2 linked regions of the Mus musculus genome follow. Each later gene encodes a partner of the first gene's protein in a complex. Links are inferred from orthologs where the notes say so. Each region holds a gene or a part of one and is shown on either strand. Other genes may lie near its edges.

Region 1 (3,653 bases):
AGAGGGTGTTGGATCTCTACAACTGGAGTTACAGATGGTTGTGAGCCATCTTGTAGGTGCAGACAATGACCCACAGTCCTCTGGAAAAGCAGCCAGGGCTATTAACTTCTGACCCATCTCTCTAGCCCCAAAAGTTTTTGTGGACTTTGACAACTGTCATATTGCTCTTGACAATAGCCACTAAACTTAGACTATAACTGCTATAATGTTTCTGTGTAATAGCAGCATGATTACTACTGACTGCCACGCAAATCCATTCTCAGTTCCATTAAGAAACGTTTGTGATGGTTGTATTGCGTAGTAATGACAACCTGTATGTTCACCTATGAACTGCTACTACACTTTGCTACACACAGATAGCAATCTGATTTATTGACATGTTAGGAAAAAGTCTGTCACTTTGAAATTAATTATAGTCAAACGCAGTTGCCTTTGTGTGGCTATACTTTTGGTTAAAAAAAAATCTGCTAGTATAAGGTTTGATTTTCAGATGTTAAGCATCACTGTAGACCATTGAACACTAACTAAATACAAAATTTCTCTGTATTTCCAAAAAGAAAAATCTTCATTTTGTGTTTTTTTGTTTTTTGTTTTTTGTTTTTGTTTTTTGTTTTTTGTTTTTTGTTTTTTCGAGACAGGGTTTCTCTGTGCAGCCCTGGCTGTCCTGGAACTCAATCTGTAGACCAGGCTGGCCTCGAACTCAGAAATCAGCCTGCCTCCTCTACCTCCCAAGTGCTGGGATTAAAGGCGTGCACCACCACGCCCGGCTCCATTTTGTGTTATTTTATAGTACATAGCTTGCTACTTTTTACTAATTTGGATTAGTAGGGAGAAAAAAATTTTATCTGGTAAGAAAATGGTACATTTTTTGGTATCTTCTAGTGGAAGACAAAGGGTTATATATTTAATATGCGTTATTTGAAGATTAGGAATTTAATGGAAGTTTGGTAGACAACTTTGATTTAGAGGGTAGTTTGAGGATGGGAGTGGTGGTTCTTGAGAGAGAAAGGCAGGCAGATCTCTGATATATATTTTTTTTAATTTCTACTTTTATTTTTATTTTTTGGCTAGATAGCCAGTCAGAGATAGCCAGTCAGGTTTAGCGGATGAGACCCTCTCTCAAACAAACAGGCATTGTAATACAAATTGCTTTTTGGTGTTTTCAACTTTAAATAAATACGGTTTATGATTTGGTTGGCATTTGACTGTAGAAAAAAATATAGCTCTGATTGCTTCATATTTATTGTGTCACAGTATAATTTTTAGCCTAGCTATTTATTTCATGTTCACGAGGAGGGCCGACCAAGAACTCTGACTTCCATCTTGTCTCTTTCAGCTACTTCTTACACCTCAGTTTCCCTTTAAACTAAGTAAAAAGGCATTACAGGTTCTGACCAACATCTTTTTGTATCATGATTTCTCAATTCAAAGCTTCATCAAAGGAATTAAGGTAAGAAAATCTGAAATTGATGAATTTGAAAGTGTGCTGTCTAATTCTAATTAGTTAACATTATTTCAGATTGAGTAGTGTGATAACTAAGGCATTTTAGTAGCAAGATTTAGAAAAAGGAAATTGCATTTTTTTTCTAGGTTTTACCTTTCCTTTATTATGCTGAAGTCACCTATAGAAGACAGAATTAGGATTGTCAGTAATGGATGCATTCTAGCTAGTCTTAACCATTGAGTGTGGCAGAGAGGGAAAGGACTTATTTTTGTTTAGGACTTGATGAAATTGTGGTGTCTTTTTACCTAAGAAATGCCATTAACCTTTGATGGGCCAGAGAGGTAACTCTTTAGCTTTGTGTCTTGGTGTCTTTTTGAGTTGGTTAAATGATAATATTAATTACTTTTCTTGACAACTCCCTAAGTTGTCAAAGTATAGTCATTGTGAGTATATGGCAGTTGTCAGTGTCATTAAGACTTATGCGTTTTAACCTTTATATGTAAGTTACATATGTATATGTTATAACGTTTATGTGTAAGTGTCATGGTTTGTATATTCTTGGACCAGGGCGTGGCACCATTTGTAGGTGTGGCCTTGTTGGAATAGGTGTGACTTGGTTGGAGTAGGTGTGACACTGTGGATGTGGGCTTAAGACCCTCACCCTAGTTGCCTGGAAGTCAGTCTTCCACTAGCAGCCTTTGGATGAAGATGTAGAACTCTCAGCTCTGCCTGCATCATGCCTGCCTGGATGCTGCCATGCTCCCACCTTGATGATAATGGACTGAACTTCTGAACCTGTAAGCCAGCCCCAATTAAATGTTGTCTTTTGTAAGACTTGCCTTGGTCATGGTGTCTGTTCGAAGGAGTAAAACTGTAACTAAGACAGAAGTTGGTACCAGGAGTGGGGTATTGCTGTGAGAGGCCTGACCATGCTTTTATTTGAAAGAATGTGGATTTTGGAACTTTGGATTTGGAATACAGTGGAATGCTTTAAATGGGGCTTAATGGGTCATCATAGTAGGAATATGGAAGACTTTGTTGCTGGGAATAATTTGAACTATGTTGACCTGGCCCAAGAGATTTCAAAGGAGAAGAATTTCAGAATGTGGTATAAAGACTATTTTTATGGTATCTTGGTGAAGAATGTGACAACTTTTTGCTCTTGTCTGAAAAGTCTGCCTGAGGCTAAGGTGAAGAGACTCAGATTAATTGCATTGACAAAGGAAGTTTCAAAAAAGCCCAGCAAAGACTTTGTTCTCTGGTTAAGTCTTATGAAGAGAAGTTTGAACAAGCATAGCAAGCTTAGAAAGGAAAAATATAAAATATATAGTTCTACTCTTAAAGGGGTACCAAGAAGTAAAATGGAGCAAAATCCTGTGTTCTAGGAGATAATAGATTAAGGGTATGGGATCTTGGAGCAAGATCCTACCCAGCTAAATTTAGATCCAGGCATGGTGGTACACACTTTTAATCCCAGGAGACAGGCATGCTGATCTCTGCGTTCAAGGTCAATCTACAGAGCAAGATCCAGGACAGCCAGGTTTAGGCAGTGAAGGAGATGGAAAACAGAAAGCCAGTGATAATGTAATAGTACAAGGGGATCATTTTCTAGTTCCTGCAAGCAGCAGAACTTGGCAGCTTCAGCCATGTGGCTCTGGCTCTAGAGTTAAGAATAGAAGAAACTACTGGGACAATTTATGCTGGGTAGCTGGAGCTAAGAAATTAGCAGTGATTAAGAAGAGACCAGCATCACTGAGGTGAAATCTGGGAATTGTTTTCTGGGAGCGCAAAGAAGCTGTGTTCCAGAGATAGCCAAGTTTGTACCTGGTGCTGCAGTTGGACTTGGTAATGTGTAAGAGTCACCCAGGTGGTACTGGTTTTGAAGGCATGAAGATGTCATGAAGAACAGCTGAGGCTTGGCATTGTGAGAGGTCATGGAAGGCCATTGGAGAAGGTGCAGCCTCAGTTGTAGTTGATGGCCCAGGACTGAAGGGGTCATACAAAAGATTTGAGGTGTGGCAACATGAAGAGAACCTATGAAAGGCTATTGGTGAAGTTGAGTTGGAGTGGAACACCCCAGTGTATTGGAGATGTCAGTACCATAGGATGATCACCAAGAACAACAGCCGTAGTGGAGTGGATCAACCTGAGCTTAGAGTGCTACAGAGGGCAGAGCTGGAGAAGTGATGCCAGCCCTTAAGAGGAGTTG
Region 2 (3,653 bases), on another chromosome or scaffold:
TATTATCTTAAGCATGCTAAGTGTGTAGATATGTGTGTTTTCCATATGAAGTCTACAATCTGATAGGTAATTGCCATGCTAATTCTACCCTAACTTGGATCTGCATTGACCTCAGCCACATTACTTTTAAAAAGCAATGTTAAATTTGAAAGACTTAAAAACACTTTTTTTTTCTTAAATACATGTATATGTGTTAGATATGTGTCTCTAGGCCAGTAAGGGTTGCTAAGTATCCTCCTCTGTCATTCTCCAAGATATTATTAAATGAGGTCTCTTGCTGGACATAGATCTTGCCAGTTGGCTAGACTGACTGGGCAGCAAGCTCCATAGTCTCCCATCTCCACTTTCCAGGTCTGGAGTTACTGGCATGAGCTTGTTGTGCCAGGCATTTTATGTAGGTGTTGAGAATCTGAACTTAGCTTCAGCACAGCAAACAATTTATCAACTGAGCTATCTGCTCAATCTTGACCTCATTTTTCTTTTTTAAGAAAAATTACTGCTTAAAAGATAAGAAAGATAAGGAGCTCTTTTTTTTTTTTTTTTGTATGTAAAGTGGACGGTTCTTCCAATTAATATTATATTAACCTTGTGGATGATAGATATAATTCATTGATTCTTTAGATGTCTAAAAATCCATTTTAGTGATTAATGGGAATCAACTATTACTCATATAATTCCTATATTGTATTATAGATAATACTGCTTTAATCTTCAAAATAGGCCTGACAGAAAAGTGTTAATTCTCTATTTAGATGTTTAGATCTGAAAAAGACTTGATCTTTTAATGTTGACTTAAATGACTCCTTTGACACTAATTCCATTATTTGTGCTTCATCTAAAATAATAAACATGAATCATTAACTTTATCCTTTTATATGTGTTTAAAAAAATAACCCTCACTATATCTTTGGTACTTTTAGACTCTGAAAGCAGAGTCTAGACTTCTAGACTCTGTCTTGAAGCAGCAAAGAATGCTACAGTCTTTATTCCAGCACATTTGTTCAGGTCTTAGACAGCTACCTAAGGATTGTCCTTGAATGATTACTCTAGTAGCACCAGATCCAGAAAAGGAATAATGGTTTTAAGGTTTTTCTTCTTTTAATTCATGTATTTATTTTTGCAGTTATGGTGACAGAAACCAGGGTCTGAACATATATACTAGGCAGTATGTCTGTCATGGAACTACATCCCTGGGTCTAATTCTTTATTCTATAGTCTAGTTAAATGTCGTTTCTTACACATAATTAAATACTGGCTTGTAGATTGAACTAGTTTTGTTTTGTAGTTTGTTATTTGAATTTATATTTCTGCCTTTTTTGCAGTGACTTTTAAGCTGTGAATAGTAACCTTGTAGTGTTTCTGTGCTCAGAATCTAATGGATATTTAAACCTACACAGATCTCCAAGCTTAGTTTCCTGTGGAATCTTGACCTTTAGGGCAGGTGGTCCAGACTGATTGTTATGACGCCAAGACATTTTAGGAGAGACTGTGTGGTTGCACTGGCACTGTTAGGTTAGATTGCTTTGCCCGTGCACTGAAACAGCTTTTGAGTTGGTGATGTAAAGAAGTAGTTCTGCCATTCACTGACGTGACATCTCATTATTTACCTGACACTAGATAAAAGAAGAATCTATTTTTATAACTCAGAAAAATGGTGCCAGAGCAGTTAGTATTTAATTCCTGGCTGCTACAAATAAGCTTTAACATTCACTTTTATTACATGTGTAATATTTTTATTACATCTGTTCATCTTATGTTTATCAGGTACAAAGAATTTTACGTGAAAGATTTTGTCATCATAGTCCACATAGCAACCTCTTTGGAGTGCAAGTACAATACAAGTGAGTCTGATATCAGCTCCTCCATTATAAGTTCATTTTCATTTCCTCTCTGAGTTTTGAAAAGATAATATGCATTATCTTAAGTTATGATGAAGTTATGTTTTATATATAGAAACAATATTGTAAAACAGGAACACATGTAAGTACTTAATGTCTCATAATGTTATTGATAAGGACATATGGTCCCTAATACTTCTTTTGTGTTAATTACCTGCTATTATTGAAAGAATTCTGGTACTTAACACCTGGTAGCCAGCTCAGGTGATAAGGACCAAAGTGCTAGCAAAAATAATTCTCTCTAAGCCTAGAGGACCTAAAAGTTAGCTTAATTGTCCCTTATCTTCTCCCACTATGAGACCAAATGAATTCCCACTTTCCTGGATTTCCTTTTCTGGTCTCTAGAGAATCTCTAGCGGCTAATGTTCTTTTCTGTGTATTTTCTATATGCAGGAAAATTTAGATCCTTTGGGCTAGAGAGCCAAAAGGGTAAAATTAATACTGACTTTCAGGTTTAGCCTTTTAAAAGTATGACCCAATAAATTATTTCACCTTTTTTTTTTATTAATTCTGCCTTTCCGTATCATTTTAGGCATTTGATTGAGCTACTCAAAAGAACTGCTATCTATGGAGAAAGCAATTCTGTACTCATTGTTGGACCACGAGGATCAGGAAAGACCACAGTAAAAGACTTAAGTTTCTCATATATCATTGCTTTAATACACATTTGAAGTTTTTATATCAGATACACTAAAAATGTTTTTCGTTTTATTGTCTTGCAACATTCTTTGTTTTCTATTCCTTTTAAATGACAAAATCCATGCAGGTATTCTACAAAGTTAGGTTGTGGTATGGGAGTTGATCATGCTTTTTATGTTCTCTGCTTGGTATATTGCCCTATACTGGGGCAGGGATTTCAATCCTCCCATCTGCCACTGAGAGTATAAGGTCCATGCTTCCATACATACATGGGCTCTGAGGGTCCCAACTCAGGACTTCACGGGTCATCATCATACAGTGATTCCCCACAAGCATTTTTACCCCTTTTTACAGTTTTCACAGTTTTACAATTTATTTTTAACCTTCAAACAAATCTTTCATGTCAAGGTCATCAGTATTTATGTCATATTTCTCTTCTTCTGACTTAGTTAATCTCAAAAATTCTTCTCCCTCTCATCTGTTCCTTTTTACAATATACAAAACAAATACATCAACATTTGAATGTATTACTATTAAATTTTAATGTGCTAAGTTGTATAAATTGTATTTTTCTAGTATTCTGTAATAGCAAATTAATATTTTGTTCAGGCATATTATTATACCTTAAAAATAGTTAAGATAGTAAATTAAAACTGTTTCTATTTTTTAAAATAGTACATGTTGGTTCTATATTATGTAAGATGAAGAATTTTTATTTATACTACCATTTCCATTTAAAGAACATAACTTGGTAATTGACAACTTTATTACTGTTTCAAGAATTTATACATTTCTTATAAGATGTCTTACTCTAGCCTGCTTTGGTCCTCCTGCTTACTTGGTATAATTTCCAATTCTTTGCCATTTGTTGTTGTTTGGTTTTTATAATTTTCTTTTGCTTTAATTTAACAACTTTTTTCAACAGAAGAACTATGTAAAATACATTTGTGGTTTTGATTGTTTTCCTTAATGTATCTACTGCCTGGGGTTATAGGCTTCCTCACAGGTGTTTTTGTTTTTGTTTTTGTTTTTCCTCTCCTTAGAATTGCAAGGATTTTGCATGAATTTTGTTTTGTGGAGAAAATCCTGGAGTGAGATTTTCTTTAGTTTTTCTTT

The links.
Region 2: the proteins of Orc3 (region 1) and Orc4 are in contact, whole or in part, in a cryo-EM structure (PDB 7JPO), measured with the Homo sapiens proteins. The link is inferred for Mus musculus from reciprocal best matches to the Homo sapiens genes ORC3 and ORC4. Residues at the interface, in NP_036513.2 of Homo sapiens: Thr227, His260, Arg261, Leu262, Leu263, Pro264, His265, Ala266, Ser269; in NP_001177808.1 of Homo sapiens: Pro370, Lys374, Glu377, Gln381, Ser392, Gly393, Asn394, Ser395, Gln396, Arg397.

Annotation. Positions count from the first base shown.
Region 1 is NC_000070.6:34,590,858-34,594,510, reverse strand, and holds part of Orc3 (origin recognition complex subunit 3), read left to right. Parts: intron 1-1,336; coding exon 1,337-1,450; intron 1,451-3,653. UniProt on the Homo sapiens protein: Component of the origin recognition complex (ORC) that binds origins of replication. DNA-binding is ATP-dependent. The specific DNA sequences that define origins of replication have not been identified yet.
Region 2 is NC_000068.7:48,935,640-48,939,292, reverse strand, and holds part of Orc4 (origin recognition complex subunit 4), read left to right. Parts: intron 1-1,764; coding exon 1,765-1,841; intron 1,842-2,430; coding exon 2,431-2,521; intron 2,522-3,653. UniProt on the Homo sapiens protein: Component of the origin recognition complex (ORC) that binds origins of replication. DNA-binding is ATP-dependent. The specific DNA sequences that define origins of replication have not been identified yet.